Alligator mississippiensis: one gene and its partner. The protein of the gene in region 1 purifies or fractionates together with the protein of each later gene. This does not show direct contact. Links are inferred from orthologs where the notes say so. Each region holds a gene or a part of one and is shown on either strand. Other genes may lie near its edges.

Region 1 (8,019 bases):
TAGACTTTTATTATTATTTTGATAATCTGTGGGCAGCTCAATTCCCCACTTTTGTTAAGTAACCATTGTTAGTAAAATAAGCTCATCACATAAGGTATTATCACTGTGTTACAAGCAGATTGTATAGCTGAAGAATACCATTCCCTGCAGATGACTAAGTGGTGGGGACCTAAAGTAACTACGTTGACTCATGCATTACTGTACAATATGAACTGTAATTTCTATGTAAATCTTAGAAGCTTAGTGTGTTATCTTATAGTAATTAACCAACCTGAAACTAAAGCATTCTAGTTGCATAAGAATAAAGTATTCACTTGAAAAGCACTGAAAACAACCAACACCCTCCTGAACCCAGAGGAACAGATTTCCACCTTGAGCTTCCGCTGTACAAAAATGAAGTTTATTTTCTACTATGGGGAATTTTACCATCTTCAATTTTCCCTAAGCCTGAGGAAAGGCGTATGTGCCCAAAAGCTTGCAGAAAAATACATAATTTTTTTGTGATTTCTTAACTGGTCTAATAAAAGGTATCATCTCTGAACCAAGAGTTCTAGAGTTTTGTATTTCTGAAAACAACCAATGTATGAATGAGCATTTATGTAGATACTAAACTAGAAATGTAGAACTACAGTACTGCTCCAAGTGGGTGCAGGGGCATACCCTGAACAAGTTTGGGCACAGCCATGCCTCATCTACCCGGAGGAAATTTACTGTAGTAACAACTGGTTACCCTTAACTAACTGAAATAGCATACATTTTGTGACCACACACAAGAATGATTCAAGAGGAAAAGGCCAGAGAGAAATGCATTGCTTTGGATTTTGTATTGATAAACAAGATTGTTCCAATTACTGCAGGCTGAAGCAACAGAGCACCCACATGGAAGTACTGCACTAATAGAGCCAGTACCTTGCCAGAGCTGACACACCCATCACTTCAAGTACCTGCCTTTGTTCAGGATCCCCTGTTCGTCTGAACTCCCCTACTTAATTACCCCTTAAGTCAGATCACCCTCCTTAGGTAAAAGCTGCAAGAAATAATGTCACTAGTCCACTATCTGAAGTCAGAACTGAAACTGTGAATAACAAACTGAATGTATTATTTGCTCTCCCTCCCTGCCCAGAATACACCTCCAGATTTATCTTCTTCCAAGAATCACTATCACTAGCAGTTGCAACCTCAAACAACTTCAATGAGCAACCAATATTTGGATCTCTGTCTAAGAATAGCATGGAAGATGAGGTCATTTCTGGAGCATCCAAAGAGGGGGCACAGCAGCACAGCCTCTCTCCTTACCTAGCTGCATCTGCTTGCATGGGATAAGAAATCCTTTGACAAAGAACCAGCTGTCAAAGGAGACAACCAATATTCCACTGCTGAGCAATAGTTGTAGAGAAGGGTGTGAGAAGGTGACCACCTTCTTAGAAAGTGCAGGAAGTGGGGGGAGGAATCTGTCCCCAGCACATCTTTCTTTCTCTAGAGATGGTCCTGGTAGTCTGGAATTTGGCAGAAGGCAAGGCAGGGTGGCACTTTAAAGACTAGGGCTGTCCAATTTCTGGACAACTGGGAACAGCAGACCTGACTCCTCCCTCCCCACTACTACACACAGCACTCTCAACTTCTTGCCATGCACACCACACAGGCAGCCCATCCCTACAAAGTATGCAGAGCAGATCCCCCACCATCATGCATGCAACACCCTTTCCTCCCCTCCCTCCATGCACAATGGGAAGACAGCCTAAGATGCAGCACAGACAGCCGAGAGTTCCATCCCCTTTGCTATGTGCATAGCATGGGTACCATGACCTCCTTGTGCTGTGCCACCCTGCCCCAAGGACCAGGAGCAGAAAGTGGAAACTGGAGGAGGGAGATAGAGCCCAGAGACCCTGGCTGCCACTGCAGGAGCAATAGGGTGGTAGTGAAGTAGGGAGCGTTGGCTGGACAGAAAGAAGCCTGCAACCTGCATGTTAACACCTCAGGCTGCCAGTTATACAGCTTCTTTACAGTGTAACAAAATGCCACCCTGCCTTAACCTTCTTTCTTTATTTCCCTAGAAATGTTTCAGAAAAACCCTCATCATCATCTTCACATTTTACTCAACTAAAATGTTGAGCTAAGAAAAGTAACAGAAGAGTAAAGCTTCAGACACACAATGCAATTACTCCAGAATATTTACTTTGAATTTAATTCCATAATGAAGAGCAAACACCCATGAAGTTCTCTTATCTCCCTGTCTTATCCAGGTGCTATTACAGCACCAGACCCTCAAGTAGCAGAACAGCATTAGGCAAAAAGACTACATCAGGATGATACTAACAGGTAGGGTCATCTGTGGGATAGACTGAACAGCTGAGAGAAACACAGCCTTTAAATCAGGAATGTAAATATAAATATTGTTTTAAAAGTTATCCATTTAATCTCCTCAAATTATATTGGTTAAACAGTTAACTCAAAGTGTAGTGACCTCTGGCAGGAAGCCATGGGTTGGAGGCAGCAGGTGTAGCCAAACCACTAAGGGGTGCTGCCCAGCTGCAGAACCGCAGCCCTCAAGGCTGGAGCTGCAGATTCCTCGTGTCCAAATCCTCATGCCACAGGGAGGAAAGAACAGAGGAAGGTGCTGGGCTCCCCCACAGGGGAGCCTTCCCATCACAGCAGCAAGACTCCTAGTTCCATGGAGGGTCTTCCCAGGCCCCTTATAGCAGCGGGGCCCAGGCAAGGTAACAGATTCCTTGAGCTTGTCCCACCTTGATCTGGACCTGGAAGTCTCTGTGCTGCTGGGTCAAGCCCTCCCCAGCTTGCCCTGGGGGAAGATGAGGTCCAGACCCAGTGGGGTGGCCTCTGCCAGGTGCACTATGTCCTTCCCCTTCTTGTCTGTGGCAATGGGGCTACCTGGGGCCTGGCCCAGCCCTGAGGCAGGGCTGGCATGGCCTAAAGAGGCACCATGGCAGCTGTAGCAGGCAGCTCCAGGTTAGAGAGGGGATTGAGGCTAGTTCCTTGAGCGGTGATCTTAGCCCCACAGCATTCATGAGCTCCAGCCTAGGAGGCTGCTGTTTCAGCCCTAACACTCCCCCTGGGATCCCTGCTGCTCCAAAAGAATGCCATAAGGCTGTGCTCACCATGCGAGGGGCCAGCAATGACCTCTTAGCAGCCCTTTCAGGTCCAGGCCACAGTGGCATAAGTGCGGCAGAAGGCACAGGACCCTGTCACCCTACCTGGACCTTGTTGCTGGAGATGAGGGGGCGACAAACCCATCACAGGGATGGGAAGGCCCCGCCTGACCCATGTGGGGGGACCCAGCACCTCCCTGCTTCCCTGAGGTGGTGGGATCCAGGCACAGGAGAGGTCCGCAGCCCCGGCTCTGTCCACAGCCCCAGCCCACGATGGTGAGAAGGAGCCGCAGCTCCACAGCTGGGCTGCACCCCCAAATGGCTCAGCCACACCACTATCCCCCACCCACAGCTCCCTGCCAGTGGCCTGGGGCCCACGCAGAGCTGCTTGTATGGTGAAGACACAAGGGGCATAGGCCAAGGCTGCTCCTGCTGGAGGTTTCTAAACAGTAAACGGTATAAATAAAATTGTTGTTTAACCATTTACATACTTAAAACATTGCTACATTAGACACATTTTTTGCTCAGCATTTTTTCGCACCTCTGTGAAAACAGAGTGTACTGTGACTGCCCCCAAAACTACAGAGCTGAGCGTTTCCAACCCCATCTGGTAATGTCCACCTCCGCGTGGTTTTCAACTTCTCACTGGCGATTTGAAAAGCTTCTCAGACTCGTAACCAAATCCGTTCTGCGGGGCGCGGACACGAAGATGGGCTTTATACCCCTTTATCTCCTGTGCTCTGCCCCGATGCCCTGACCATCCCAGGTGCACGGATAGACCCAGGGCCCTACAGGCACCACCGGGCCCCAAGAGGCGCTCACAGGGAGAGGCAGCTTTGCACCTCTGCTATGAGGGCCGGGGCCGCCGTGCCTGGCATCTCATCAGTCCGGCAGGCGACGCCAAGCCCCAGGGGCTTCAGAGAAAGCCACGAGGGCCCCCGGCGCAGCGCGCCTTCCTGGCCCCCGGCCCTCAGCAGCTCCTGGCCTCACGCGGGAGACCTCGTGCCCTTTTCTTTTTGACAGCTCGTTGCTCCGGCTCTGCTCACCCTGCGCCTCGCCGCAGCCCCGGGCAGCTCCGCCTGGGCCTCGCACTCTTGTCGAAGGTGCCCCCGGCCCCGGCCGCCCGCCCCGAGGCGCCGCATCCCGACCCCGCCCCGGGGGAGGGGCCGGCCTCAGCTCCCGGGAGCAGCGCAGGCAGCACCAGCTCGGAAACGAGCTCCGCGCCCCCGCCCCGCCCCGCCCCGTCCCGTCCCGTCCGGGCCGCTCCAGACCTGGCGCCGCAGGCTAACACTGCCTCCCAGCCGCGAGGCTCCATGTCCCCAGCCCCGCCGCTGCCGCCGAGCCTGAGGCGGTGACTCCCTTCTGCAATGCGCGTGCGCACCATCTCCCTCCCTCCCCACCAGCCGCGGAGGATGCCGGGTGTAGTGCGCAGCCGGGAATCGTAGTTGCCGGCAGGTGGCGGGGCATGCTGGGAGCGGTAGTTCGCTCGTCTCGCCCGCGGCACAGCTGTCTCTAACGAGCGGCGCCTCACGTTCCAAGCCTGGTGCCGCCGTGCACCTTGGGGCTTGTAGGCTTGGCCTTGGCCGAGCGTCCATCCGGGGCTCGGAAGCAGCGGGGCTGGTGGATGGCGTCGCCTAGCAGCGGCCGCCGCTTCCCGTAGGGCCCGGGGCGACAAGTGAGGGCCGGGTTGGGCCAGGCCAGGGCGTCCCTCGGGTGCCGCTGGGCGGGGGAGAGCGTCGCTCTAGTGGGGGGTTCCCAGCGCGCGGAGGGGCAGGAGGAGGCGTGTGGGCGCGGCCAATTTCGGGGGTGCCCGGCCGGGGGTGCTCCAGCTGCTCGGGGCCTGCTGCTGCAAGGGTCAGAGGAGTCGCCTGCCTGGGTGTCCGGCTCCGAGAGATGGGCAGCGGTGGAGCTCATCTCGCTCCCCGGACCTGCGAGGTCTTTCTCGCTCCGTGTAGAGCGCACGGGCCGGTGCAGGGGCGAGGAGGGTGGGTGGGAAAGTCCATTTTTTCCTGTCAGAGCAGTTGTCACTTAAACTACACACTAAGACCAGGTGTGGGAAGTATCTGAAGTCCCGGACTAAAGAGTCTGGGAGGAAGGATGATTTCCTGTAGCATCTGCAGGCATCCGAATGCCAAGACCTGCGGGCCTGGGCCTGCAACTAGGACACCTGCCAGTGGATTTGGGAGGATGTGAAGTCCCAGGGTGAGAGCCTGGGGCTGAGAATGCTGGTTGTAGCACCATACATGGTGTTTAGAAAGATTGAATTCTGCCTGCTCCATTGATACGGTTTTTGGAGCGCTTGACTTCTGCTCAGTCAATATGATTTGGAACTGATTTAGCTGATTTGACCTGGAACACAAAATATATTATTATTATTAATAATAATAATAATAATAAATCCATTGATTTCTTCTCCTCCAGGCAGCAGGTTGTGTGGTTCAAGTGCTGCCCCAGATGGGCGCTGGGTGAGGGGAGATGATTCTGTGCTTAGGTTCCTGGATGCCTCCTGGCTGTTAAACATGTGAAGGATTTATGAGCTCTTTCAGAACAGTAGGTTCAGAACAGTAGGGGCTGGGGTTCTAGGTCATTACATCTCGTGTCTCTTATAATCATTGTACTGATGTCATTAGCCTTTTTGTTGTCTTAGGCTCTCTTTCTGCTTTTTATTCTGACAGGGTTATCATCTCTTTCTTTTCCAGGAATATTTTTGTCTTCATTTGTCATCTTTTCTCTCAAATAACAGACCTGTTCTCCTATTTCAGAAGGTATTTTGTTGTGTTCTGCATGAGGTCCTTCTGTGGTTTCACCCTAATTTAGAGAATTTTTAGATCAGAAATATGTGCATATTGTCACATCTTCCTTGGGAAATCAGACATCATAATGTACTCTGTTTAAATGCATAGCTTTCTGTCTGGAAACATAAAAAGGCTGTGTATTTTCCTGATTTATGAACTTACCCAAACTCAGTGTAAGCAGCACTCATTAAGAACACAATATCCTATCTCAGTCTTTTTCAGTACTGTACAGGGCTATTAGCAGTCCTGATAATGACTTGGCTTCTGGACATTTTTAAAGCTTTTAAAAGCAGCCCTGAAATTGGCATGCTCTGGTCAGTTTCAAGGCTTTTAAGGGCAGCTTTTTGACAGCTGTTTCCTTTCAGCCTTTCTGTCGCAGATATTATGTATTTACATGGATTAAAATTATATTACACAGCAGGTAGTAGAAGCTACCTGGTTTATACATTTAATCCATATGCAAATAATTGATACATGTGCTAACAGGCAAAAAATTGCAACCTGCTTGTATGGTAACAGACTCTTCTTATCCACATATGAGTTAGATGCATAAAATGGTTAGAGGCCTGTGTATCTTTCAACCACTCTACTTCATATCCTAGTTGTGCAGCGAAGGAGCAGCAGCTGTCAAAGGCCAGCTATTAAGCTTTGACAATGATGAGGGGTATTTATTTCCTTGATTGTCATCTCATCTCATTTTCATGATTTCTAATAACTCCAAGAGTGACTATTAGAAGTCTTTAAAATGATGGGAGGATAGTCATTTTCCGGGCTGCTAATACCACAGCACTAACAGGACTGTGTACTTAAATATTGATAGTTTAAATGAAAGTTTGGATAAGTGCATAACCTGCGTAAATGCTGGCCTGAGAACAGACGCTGGTCTGTTCTTAATCTCAAACGGTTTATGTTTCTCTCTCCATATATATACATATACATATATTGCATATTTTTTAAAACTCCTAGTAAACCGAGAGGTGGCAAAGAAAATGAGTGATTTGTATCCCAGCTTAATTGCACAGCTGGAGAAGTTTTTCTGGCAGACTGTTCAGACAATTATAGGAAAGTTTTTGAAGGATGGTAATGGCAGGAAGTTTTAAGTTGGCAAATCTCTACCCAGGGTTCATTTAATGCAGAGGAATGTGAATCAGTTTCTAATAGTGCAGAAATTTCCCACAACTTTAGTAAAATGAATGGTGAAAAAGATCTCAAAGGTCTTGCAGCACTGTACAGAGGTCCTATCTGAGAATTTGCACAAAATATCTGTTCTAATTTTCTACGTCAACTAGCAGCAACTGACTTGCTTGTTTTTTTTTCCAACTGTGAGAGCCATTTTCATAAGGAGAATAAGTAAATTATTTATATGTAGTAGGATCTAATTGCTCTATTTGGACTTTGTCAGCCTGGGTAGGAGCAGCCAATGAACAGTAGCAAACAATTAATCTCTACCTCATGTAAAATCTTTTCCAGGTCCTCACATAATGTCCAATAATACACAAAAACTTTGCAGTACCTAGTTGTAGACTGGCTGGTTATAGGCAGTAGAAAGAAACTTACACTTGGGTGGGTGTATTGCTTCTAATGCTTAATAGCACCCTCATGATAGATTTTGGTCAACAGGTTGTGAGAAGCAGATGATAAGACAGAGGTATCAATGTAGTGCTTGATCTGGTTCTTGTATATATATCTCCCAGTGATGCATTCATATTGTGCAGTATCCAAGATTTTATTTAAAAGGAAAAGAACATTTCTATCCCTCATGCTTGCAAAAGTAATCTAGATGTGGGAAGAGTGTAAACCAATGAAACAGTTCACCCTTGGAAGGTGTAAAGTCTTGTATTGTTTCCTGTGATTCACTTTCTTGCGTTTGGCAATTGTTTTAGCTTTAATGTAATGATCATTATTATTTTTGTTGTTGTTTCAGGGAAGAAACAAAGCTATTTTAAACTTAAGATGGCCCCCAACTTAGACTGGAAGATGCTTATGAGAGTTGACCCAGATGCTCTTCCACGTCAAGAGGAACTGGCGGATAGATTGCTGGAGACTGTGTCCAAAGTACGTGTATGAAGTACAAGAAATGTAAATGTTTTTGTTATGCATATTTAGTGAACCAGTTC
Region 2 (7,943 bases), about 160 Mb from region 1:
TGTTCGCCTTTGCCAACTTCAAGATCTCCTTCACAGGATGTATCAATAGACGCAGGCTTGAAGTCATCTAACAATAGAAACAAAATGGTGATTTTCATAAGTCTCAGAAGTCCCTTGAACATCTGACATATGGTTTCACATGTTTTAGAGATGGTAGAGATGGATGTCACCAAGATAGTGTATTGGATGGTGTGGCATCCACCATTGCTATCAGCAGATTATACTACATGCTAATAGAGCTGAAAGCCAAGACTGTTTTATTGGTATTCAACCTAGGTCTTAACATGTCCTGATGCCAAGTCTTTTCAAAAGAGGATTTTTAAATACCACATAGAAGGCTTCCCATTGAAGATGTAGCTTAACTGGTTTTGATTATGATTAAAAGAAAAAAAATGACCCATACAATTATTTATTGGAAAAGAAAATCCCTGATAATTTCAGCTCGAACTGGAAGCTGCAGGTAGTTGCAAGCAACTGAAAAACAGGGGAAGGGGGTTAAAACAGAAATCCATAAGCAGCCTTGAGGATAGCTGTGGTTGCTGCTCTTCCAATTGTAACAGCAAAGGAAAAGCCATGTGCCAGAGCAAGGATTTTAGTTTTTTCTCAACATAAATAAGCTTTTAAATTCCTGTTAAAATGGAATTAGAAAAAGCCACCATGATATCCTCACTGCAATTCCATTTTGTCATTCTTTGAAGCCTACTGCCATCACATTTGTTTCTAACTCTTTGGCCAGTATGAATTGCTGCTCTTTAATTTGCCAACTCTTTGAAACATGCAGATGAACATAAAGTTTGCCAAACTTTTTTGCACTAGCATTACCGGAGTTGTCCATCTTGCCAAAAGCATCACTTAAAGCAGGCTGGGAAAGTAACAACTGCTGTTTCCAAGGAGCTAAATAAGCAGAGAGTTTTTAGTAGGTAGAGGGCAGATGGTGAATGGATCCAAGGATAGCAACACCCAGGCCTTGGGAACCACAGTGTGGCAACAAAAGACGATCAAAATCCAGGCTTTAGTTGTATGCACACTGCAAAGGGGATGTGACTGTACGTATTTTACAGCAAAAGCCTCCATCACCAGCCAGCAGGCCTCAATTCAAGGAAATGGGAGGGTGTACTGTAGATAAAAGTGTTTGGATTAAAACCCAGGTAATATCTGCACTGCAGCAGGCTCTGTCTCAGAGGTCTAATCAGCACCTAGCTCAGTAAGGTACTGCTAATGGAGCTCCTATGGCAGGAATGGGAAACCATTCCCATGAGAGAGCTGCAGGATCCTTAGCACTTTGTAAGATCAGGACACTGAAACAGGTCTTCAAATATTGACTTTGCAGCGTCAACTTTTGGTGCCAATTTCTGAAGTTGTCAGACAGTTCAACTATTTGTAGCCCCAACTAATATTACTAGTAAAAAGATTAAAAAAAAAGAAGCCTCTCTCTTGACAGTGCTATCAGATATGCAAATTTAGCTGAATTTCAACCTTTCTTCAGAGCAACACAGGAGAAAAACTTTTGAAGTAGATTCTGTAGCTTTACAATTTATATTTATCCAACAGGAAATTTAAGGGCTGGTGCAAGACCAGAAACATTTGCAAATTGTTCAGTTCTTAAAACAAAACAAAAAAAAGAGTTAGAGCAGCCATGTAAATCCACGTACAAGTTTTGCGTTCCCCCCCATCCAGCTGTGGACAATTTGAAGTGCGATTCGTTTGCTCAGAGCAGACATTATCCACCCCACTGCATGAAGCACAGAGGGCATTCTCGGAGGTACTGAACCGTGGGGATCACTCTAAAAATAATGAGCCATCAAAACAGAAACAGCAGCCCTAAATTACCAGAACCATAATCCTAACAGCATTTGTCTCCTAGATACCTGCAGAATCGCTGAAAACACACCTCCCAGGATAGTAGCTATTATGTACTCAGGGAGCAAATGCTAGCTTTGAGATTAATACTGCCTTTAACCTTTGATTGTTGAATGTGTATTTAGAGACCTGCAGAGGCCAAGCACAAAGAGCAAACACAACTTCAGCCCAAACTCAGAAGTTCACAGCATTAGGATAAGTAAGACACCGCTGTTTCTTAAAACATATCCCAGGGCAGAGCCGATGCATTTAGTACCCACAAAGAAGTGCTAAGTGACGTATGGCAGCAGAGTGTTAACTTCACCAGCAACACACCTGCTCATTAGTTTGGTTTCAAATCTCTCTCCAGCAGCTGCAACCTGCTCTGAACCACACAGTCTTGTGTTGAAGAGCGCACGAGGACATAAGCAACCTGGGTTCAATTTCCAGCTCTGCCTCAGACTCTCTACATGAACGCAGGCAAGCAACTTAATCTGTCGGGGCCCAAATACTCATGTTTTTTACGACATCTCTCTCTCATGCTTCCTCCGAGGGGTCTGTTTAAAAACTTTTCAGAAACTGTTTCTTCCTCGCAGTCTCCATGGGACCTGCCTCGGGAAGGCCTTGCTAGATGCTATTGCAACACCATCAGAGTAGTAGTGTTGCCACATTTGATTCCAGTCCCCAGCCCAGCCCTCTGCCCCGTACGTCTCCATGCAGGATCAGCCCAGCCCTCCCACAGGTGCAGTCAGAGACCCCTTGTGCTCACCTCCCCATCACCTTCCCCTGCTCCTTGTTCAGAGGCCTGCTCTCCTGTGACCCCCACTTGCTCTACCCTGACACCGCCCTCACTGACCACAGCCTCCCCCTCTCACACTAAGGTCATGGCAGGAAACAAAAGCCTGGGGAGCCCCCCCGCCCCCCTGCAGGTTACACAGCCCAGCCCTTGTCACCATCACCCCTGTGCCTGCCAACCGCGCCATGCAGGATCTGCAAAGCGGACTTTAGCTTTGCGCACAACACGTTCACGTCCACCCAGAGGCAACGCCAGCCTGGGGGGACTCCCCTAGCGCTGGTGGAGTCCAAGAGCAGGGGCCGGGGGCCAAGGAGCCCATCCCAAGCCAGAGCACAGAACGGCCCATCGCCCCCATGGGACCCGGCCCCTTCCAGACACCCGCCATCGTGGGGCAGGGTGCAGCAGAGCACCTGCCTCCCCAAGGGGCCTGGACAGAGTCCACCCCATCCCCACAGAACCCCCCCACCCAAACAGACCCCCCACCCTACATGGCCTCATCCGCTATGCAATGCTCAGCACCCCCCCCATCCCCACAGCTCCCCCCCACACCCCACATGGACCCGTCCCCACGGCTCTCCCCCAGCACCCCACATGGACCCGTCCCCACAGCTCCCCCCCCTGCACCCCACATGGGACCGTCCCCACAGCTCCCCCTGCACCCCACATGGACCTGTCCCCATAGCTCTCCCCCCCCCCGCACCCCACATGGACCCATCCCCACAGCTCCCCCCCCCCACACCCCACATGGACCCGACCCCACAGCTCCCCCCCCTGCACCCCAAATGGACCCGTCCCCATAGCTCTCCCCCCCCCCTGCACCCACATGGACTCGTCCCCACAGCTCTCCCCCCCCCTGCACCCCACATGGACCCGTCCCCACAGCTCTCTCTCCCCCCCCGCACCCCACATGGGACCATCCCCACAGCTCCCCCCCTGCACCCCAAATGGACCCGTCCCCATAGCTCTCCCCCCCCCTGCACCCACATGGACTCGTCCCCACAGCTCTCCCCCCCTTGCACCCCACATGGACCCGTCCCCACAGCTCTCCCTCCCCCCCCCCCCCGCTCCCCACATGGGACCGTCCCCACAGCTCCCCCCCCCCTGCACCCCACATGGGACCGTCCCCACAGCTCCCCCCCCTGCACCCCACATGGGACCGTCCCCACAGCTTCCTCCCCCCGCACCCCACATGGGACCGTCCCCACAGCTCTCCCCCCCCCCGCACCCCACATGGGACCGTCCCCACAGCTCTCCCCCCCCCTGCACCCCACATGGGACCGTCCCCACAGCTTCCCCCCCCCCGCACCCCACATGGACCCATCCCCACAGCTCTCCCCCCCCCCCCCGCACCCCACATGGGACCGTCCCCACGGCTTTCCCCCCCCCCTCGCATCCCACATGGGACCGTCCCCACGACTCCCCCCCCTGCACCCCACATGGGACCGTCCCCACAGCTTCCCCCCCCCCGCACCCCACATGGACCCATCCCCACAGCTCTCCCCCCCCCCCGCACCCCACATGGGACCGTCCCCACGGCTTTCCCCCCCCCCCTCGCATCCCACATGGGACCGTCCCCACGACTCCCCCCCTGCACCCCACATGGGACCGTCCACTCCCCCACATGGACCCGTCCCCGCCTCCGCACCCAACACATGGACCCGTCCTCCCGACTCTCCCCCCGCACCCCACATGGACCCGTCCGGCGCGGCCCCCCCCGCTCACAGCGCACGGTGTGGAAGGCGCAGCGCGGCTGCTTCTCGAAGCTCTCGCCCAGCTTGAGCACGCGCTCCTTGGGGTCGAAGAGCGGGGGAGCCGCCCCGTTCATCGCGGCCCCGCCGCGCGCCTCACACCATGGCCGGCCCGGGCAGCCCCCGCCGCCAAACAGCCCTGGCGCCGGGGGCGGGGCCGCAGCAAGCCACGCCCGCCCCGCCCCTCTGGCAGGGGCGTGGCTCTCATTGGGGCGAATCCCTCCCACCCGGCGCTCCTATTGGCTGCCGCTTCCTAGCCTCGCCCGCGCTCTCGTCACTCCGGGCAGCGGGGGGGAGGAGCCTGCATGCAAATTTTGGGATGGGCCGGTATGCAAATGTACCCCAGGGGCTGAGCCGCCGGTTGGCTGAAGCAGACGTGACGTAAGGGGGGGGTCATATGCATACGGAGCCGTTCGGAGGAAGTGAGGCCACCTCGGTCCGCGGGGGGAGGGGCCTGCTAGTGGGGGGTGGGAGCCGATAACCTGAGGTAGGGGGGCCTCCTAGTGGGGGGGAGGGGCCTGGCAGTGGGCTCGGGTAAAGGTGAGGGGGAGGGGCCTGCTAGTGGGGGAGCAAAGGTGGGGGAGGGGCCTTGCAATGGGAGGGGCCTGCTAACCTGAGGGGCAAAGGTGGGGAAGGGGCCCTGCTAACCTGGGAAAGGGGGAGGGGCCCTGGTAGTCTGGGGTGGGGGAGGGGCCCTGCCTGCATGGAGCTGGGGTGCAGGCCTGGGAGGGGGGCTGCGGGCGAGCGTGGGGCGGTGCTGCTGGCTTGGTGCAAAGCGCAGGCGTCTTCACACTTCTCTTCTCCCCCGACAGCGCCCTGCAGACGCCCGCCTTGCTGTGCGCTGGCTCGCGCCCTGCCCGGGATGGGGCCCGACCTGTTGGCCCGCACGCTGTAGCGCCCTGCTGCCCGCACGGGCGGAGACCGTCCCGGAGAGGCCACGGCGGAGACCTGCGGCCCTGGGGAGGGGGCCGGAGCCAGGAAGCGGGGTACGTTTTCCTCCAGGACTGAGGGGGCGAAGAAAGGGAGCGAGAGGCTGACACTGCAGTTCCCGCGAGCCGCGTTTTGCGCAGAGATCTGTGGGGCTGTGAAGGACCTCCGCGGTCTGGTCCAGCCCTGGCCCGAGGTAGGATCCTACACCATCCATCAGGGTTAGGCTACATGGGGGGCAAGGAGAAAGGGATTTGGTGGTAGGGGTCTGCTACAGACCCCCACATCAAGGGGAAGAAAGAGATTCAGGGCTCCTGAGGCAACTCTCGGAGACCATAAAAGCTAAGGAGGCGGTAGTCATGGGGGACCTAAACTACCCGGACATCTGCTGGGAGACGCAGACAGCAAGGTCCCACCGCTCACGCAGGTTTCTAACCTGTGTACAGGACCTCCACCTGACACAGGAGGTGCACGGTCCCACTAGGGGGAATGCCATACTGGATCTGGTATTGGCAACGGGATGACATGGTAGCGGACATCCAGATCGGTAGCCATCTGGGGGACAGTGATCACCTAATAATAGAATACACCATAAGACGGCGAGTGGGTAAGGTAACTAGTAGGGTGAAAGTGCTAGACTTCAGGAAAGATGATCTTAGTGAACTCAGGCGATTAGTCAAGGAAGCACTGCAGAGTAGGAGATTTGAAGTGATGGGAGCCCAAGAAGGGTGGCTGTGCCTTAAGGAAACGATCCTTCAGGCACAAAGCAAGACGATCCCCGAGCGAGGCAAAAGAGGGAAAGGGGCCAGGAGGCTTCCCTGGCTGACCAGAGAAATCCAGGGCAGCCTACGGGACAAAAGGCGAGCACATAAAAAGTGGAAACAGGAACAGATCACCAAAGATGAATATACCTCCTCTGCTCGTGCATGCAGGGAGGCAGTTAGACGGGCCAAAGCTATCATGGAGCTGAGGATGGCAACCCAAGTAAAAGACAACAAGAAATTGTTTTTTAGATATATAGGGAGTAAAAGGAAGGCCCAGGGAGGAATAGGACCCCTGCTAAATGGGCAGAAGCAATTGGTGACAGACAGGGAGGACAAGGCTGAACTCCTCAACGAGTTCTTTGCCTCAGTGTTCCTAAGCGAGGGGCACGACAAGTCTCTCACTGGGGTTGTACAGAGGGAGCAGCAAGGCGCCAGACTACCATGCATAGACCCTGAGGTGGTGCAGAGTCATTTGGAAGAACTGGATGCCTTTAAGTCGGCAGGCCCGGATGAGCTCCATCTGAGGGTGCTGAAGGCACTGGCCGACATCAATGCAGAGCCACTGGCGGGAATATTTGAACACTCGTGGCACATGGGCCAAGTCCCGGAGGACTGGAAAAGGGCCAGTGTGGTCCCCATTTTCAAAAAGGTGAGGGCAACTATAGGCCAGTCAGTCTCACCTCCATCCTTGGCAAAGTCTTTGAAAAAATTATCAAGGCTCACATTTGCGAGAGCCCGGCAGGACAAATTATGCTGAGGGGAAATCAGCACGGGTTTGTGGCGGGCAGATCGTGCCTGACCAATCTAGTCTCTTTTTATGACCACGTTACGAAACGCGTGGACACAGGAGGAGGGGTGGATGTCGTATACTTAGACTTCAGGAAGGCCTTCGATACGGTATCCCACCCCATACTGGTGAACAAGTTAAGAGGCTGTGATGTGGATGACTGCACAGTCCGGTGGGTGGCGAATTGGCTAGAGGGTCGCACCCAAAGAGTCGTGGTGGATGGGTCGGTCTCGACCTGGAAGGGTGTGGGCAGTGGGGTCCCGCAGGGCTCGGTCCTTGGACCGATACTCTTTAATGTCTTCATCAGCAACTTGGACGAGGGAGTGAAATGTACTCTGTCCAAGTTTGCAGATGACACAAAGCTATGGGGAGAAGTGGACACGCCGGGGGGCAGGGAACAGCTGCAAGCAGACCTGGACAGGTTGGACAAGTGGGCAGAAAACAACAGGATGCAGTTCAACAAGGAGAAATGCAAAGTGCTGCACCTAGGGAGGAGAAATGTCCAGCACACCTACAGCCTAGGGAATGACCTGCTGGGTGGCACAGAGGTGGAAAGGGATCTGGGAGTCCTAGTGGACTCCAAGATGAACATGAGCCGGCAGTGTGACGAAGCCATCAGAAAAGCCAATGGCACTTTATCGTGCATCAGCAGATGCATGACGAATACATCCAAGGAGGTGATACTTCCCCTCTATCGGGCGCTGGTCAGACCGCAGTTGGAGTACTGCGTGCAATTCTGGGCGCCGCAATTCAAGAAGGATGCGGATAACCTGGAGAGGGTCCAGAGAAGGGAAGCTCGTATGGTCAAGGGCCTGCAGACCAAGCCCTACGAGGAGAGACTAGAGAAACTGGACCTTTTCAGCCTCCGCAAGAGAAGGTTGAGAGGCGACCTTGTGGCTGCCTATAAGTTCATCACGGGGGCACAGAAGGGAATTGGTGAGGATTTATTCACCAAGGCGCCCCCGGGGGTTACAAGAAACAATGGCCACAAGCTAGCAGAGAGCAGATTTAGACTGGACATTAGGAAGAACTTCTTCCCAGTTCGAGTGGCCAAGGTCTGGAACGGGCTCCCAAGGGAGGTG

Evidence for each region. The genes of interacting proteins can lie anywhere in the genome.
Region 2: the proteins of CEP290 (region 1) and IQCB1 purify together in Homo sapiens (co-immunoprecipitation; 8 studies listed by BioGRID and IntAct, counting the BioPlex papers as one, with this or other methods). This does not show direct contact. The link is inferred for Alligator mississippiensis from reciprocal best matches to the Homo sapiens genes CEP290 and IQCB1.

Annotation. Positions count from the first base shown.
Region 1 is NC_081827.1:84,380,480-84,388,498, reverse strand, and holds the start of CEP290 (centrosomal protein of 290 kDa), read left to right. Parts: upstream 1-4,683; 5' UTR 4,684-4,782; intron 4,783-5,128; exon of another isoform or gene 5,129-5,309; intron 5,310-5,806; 5' UTR 5,807-5,872; intron 5,873-7,826; 5' UTR 7,827-7,855; coding exon 7,856-7,957; intron 7,958-8,019. UniProt on the Homo sapiens protein: Involved in early and late steps in cilia formation. Its association with CCP110 is required for inhibition of primary cilia formation by CCP110.
Region 2 is NC_081827.1:247,142,280-247,150,222, forward strand, and holds the start of IQCB1 (IQ calmodulin-binding motif-containing protein 1), read left to right. Parts: upstream 1-4,791; 5' UTR 4,792-4,870; intron 4,871-5,195; 5' UTR 5,196-5,369; intron 5,370-5,401; exon of another isoform or gene 5,402-5,506; intron 5,507-7,943. Other genes in the region: EAF2 (ELL-associated factor 2), read right to left, coding at 1-67, 4,358-4,460. UniProt on the Homo sapiens protein: Involved in ciliogenesis. The function in an early step in cilia formation depends on its association with CEP290/NPHP6.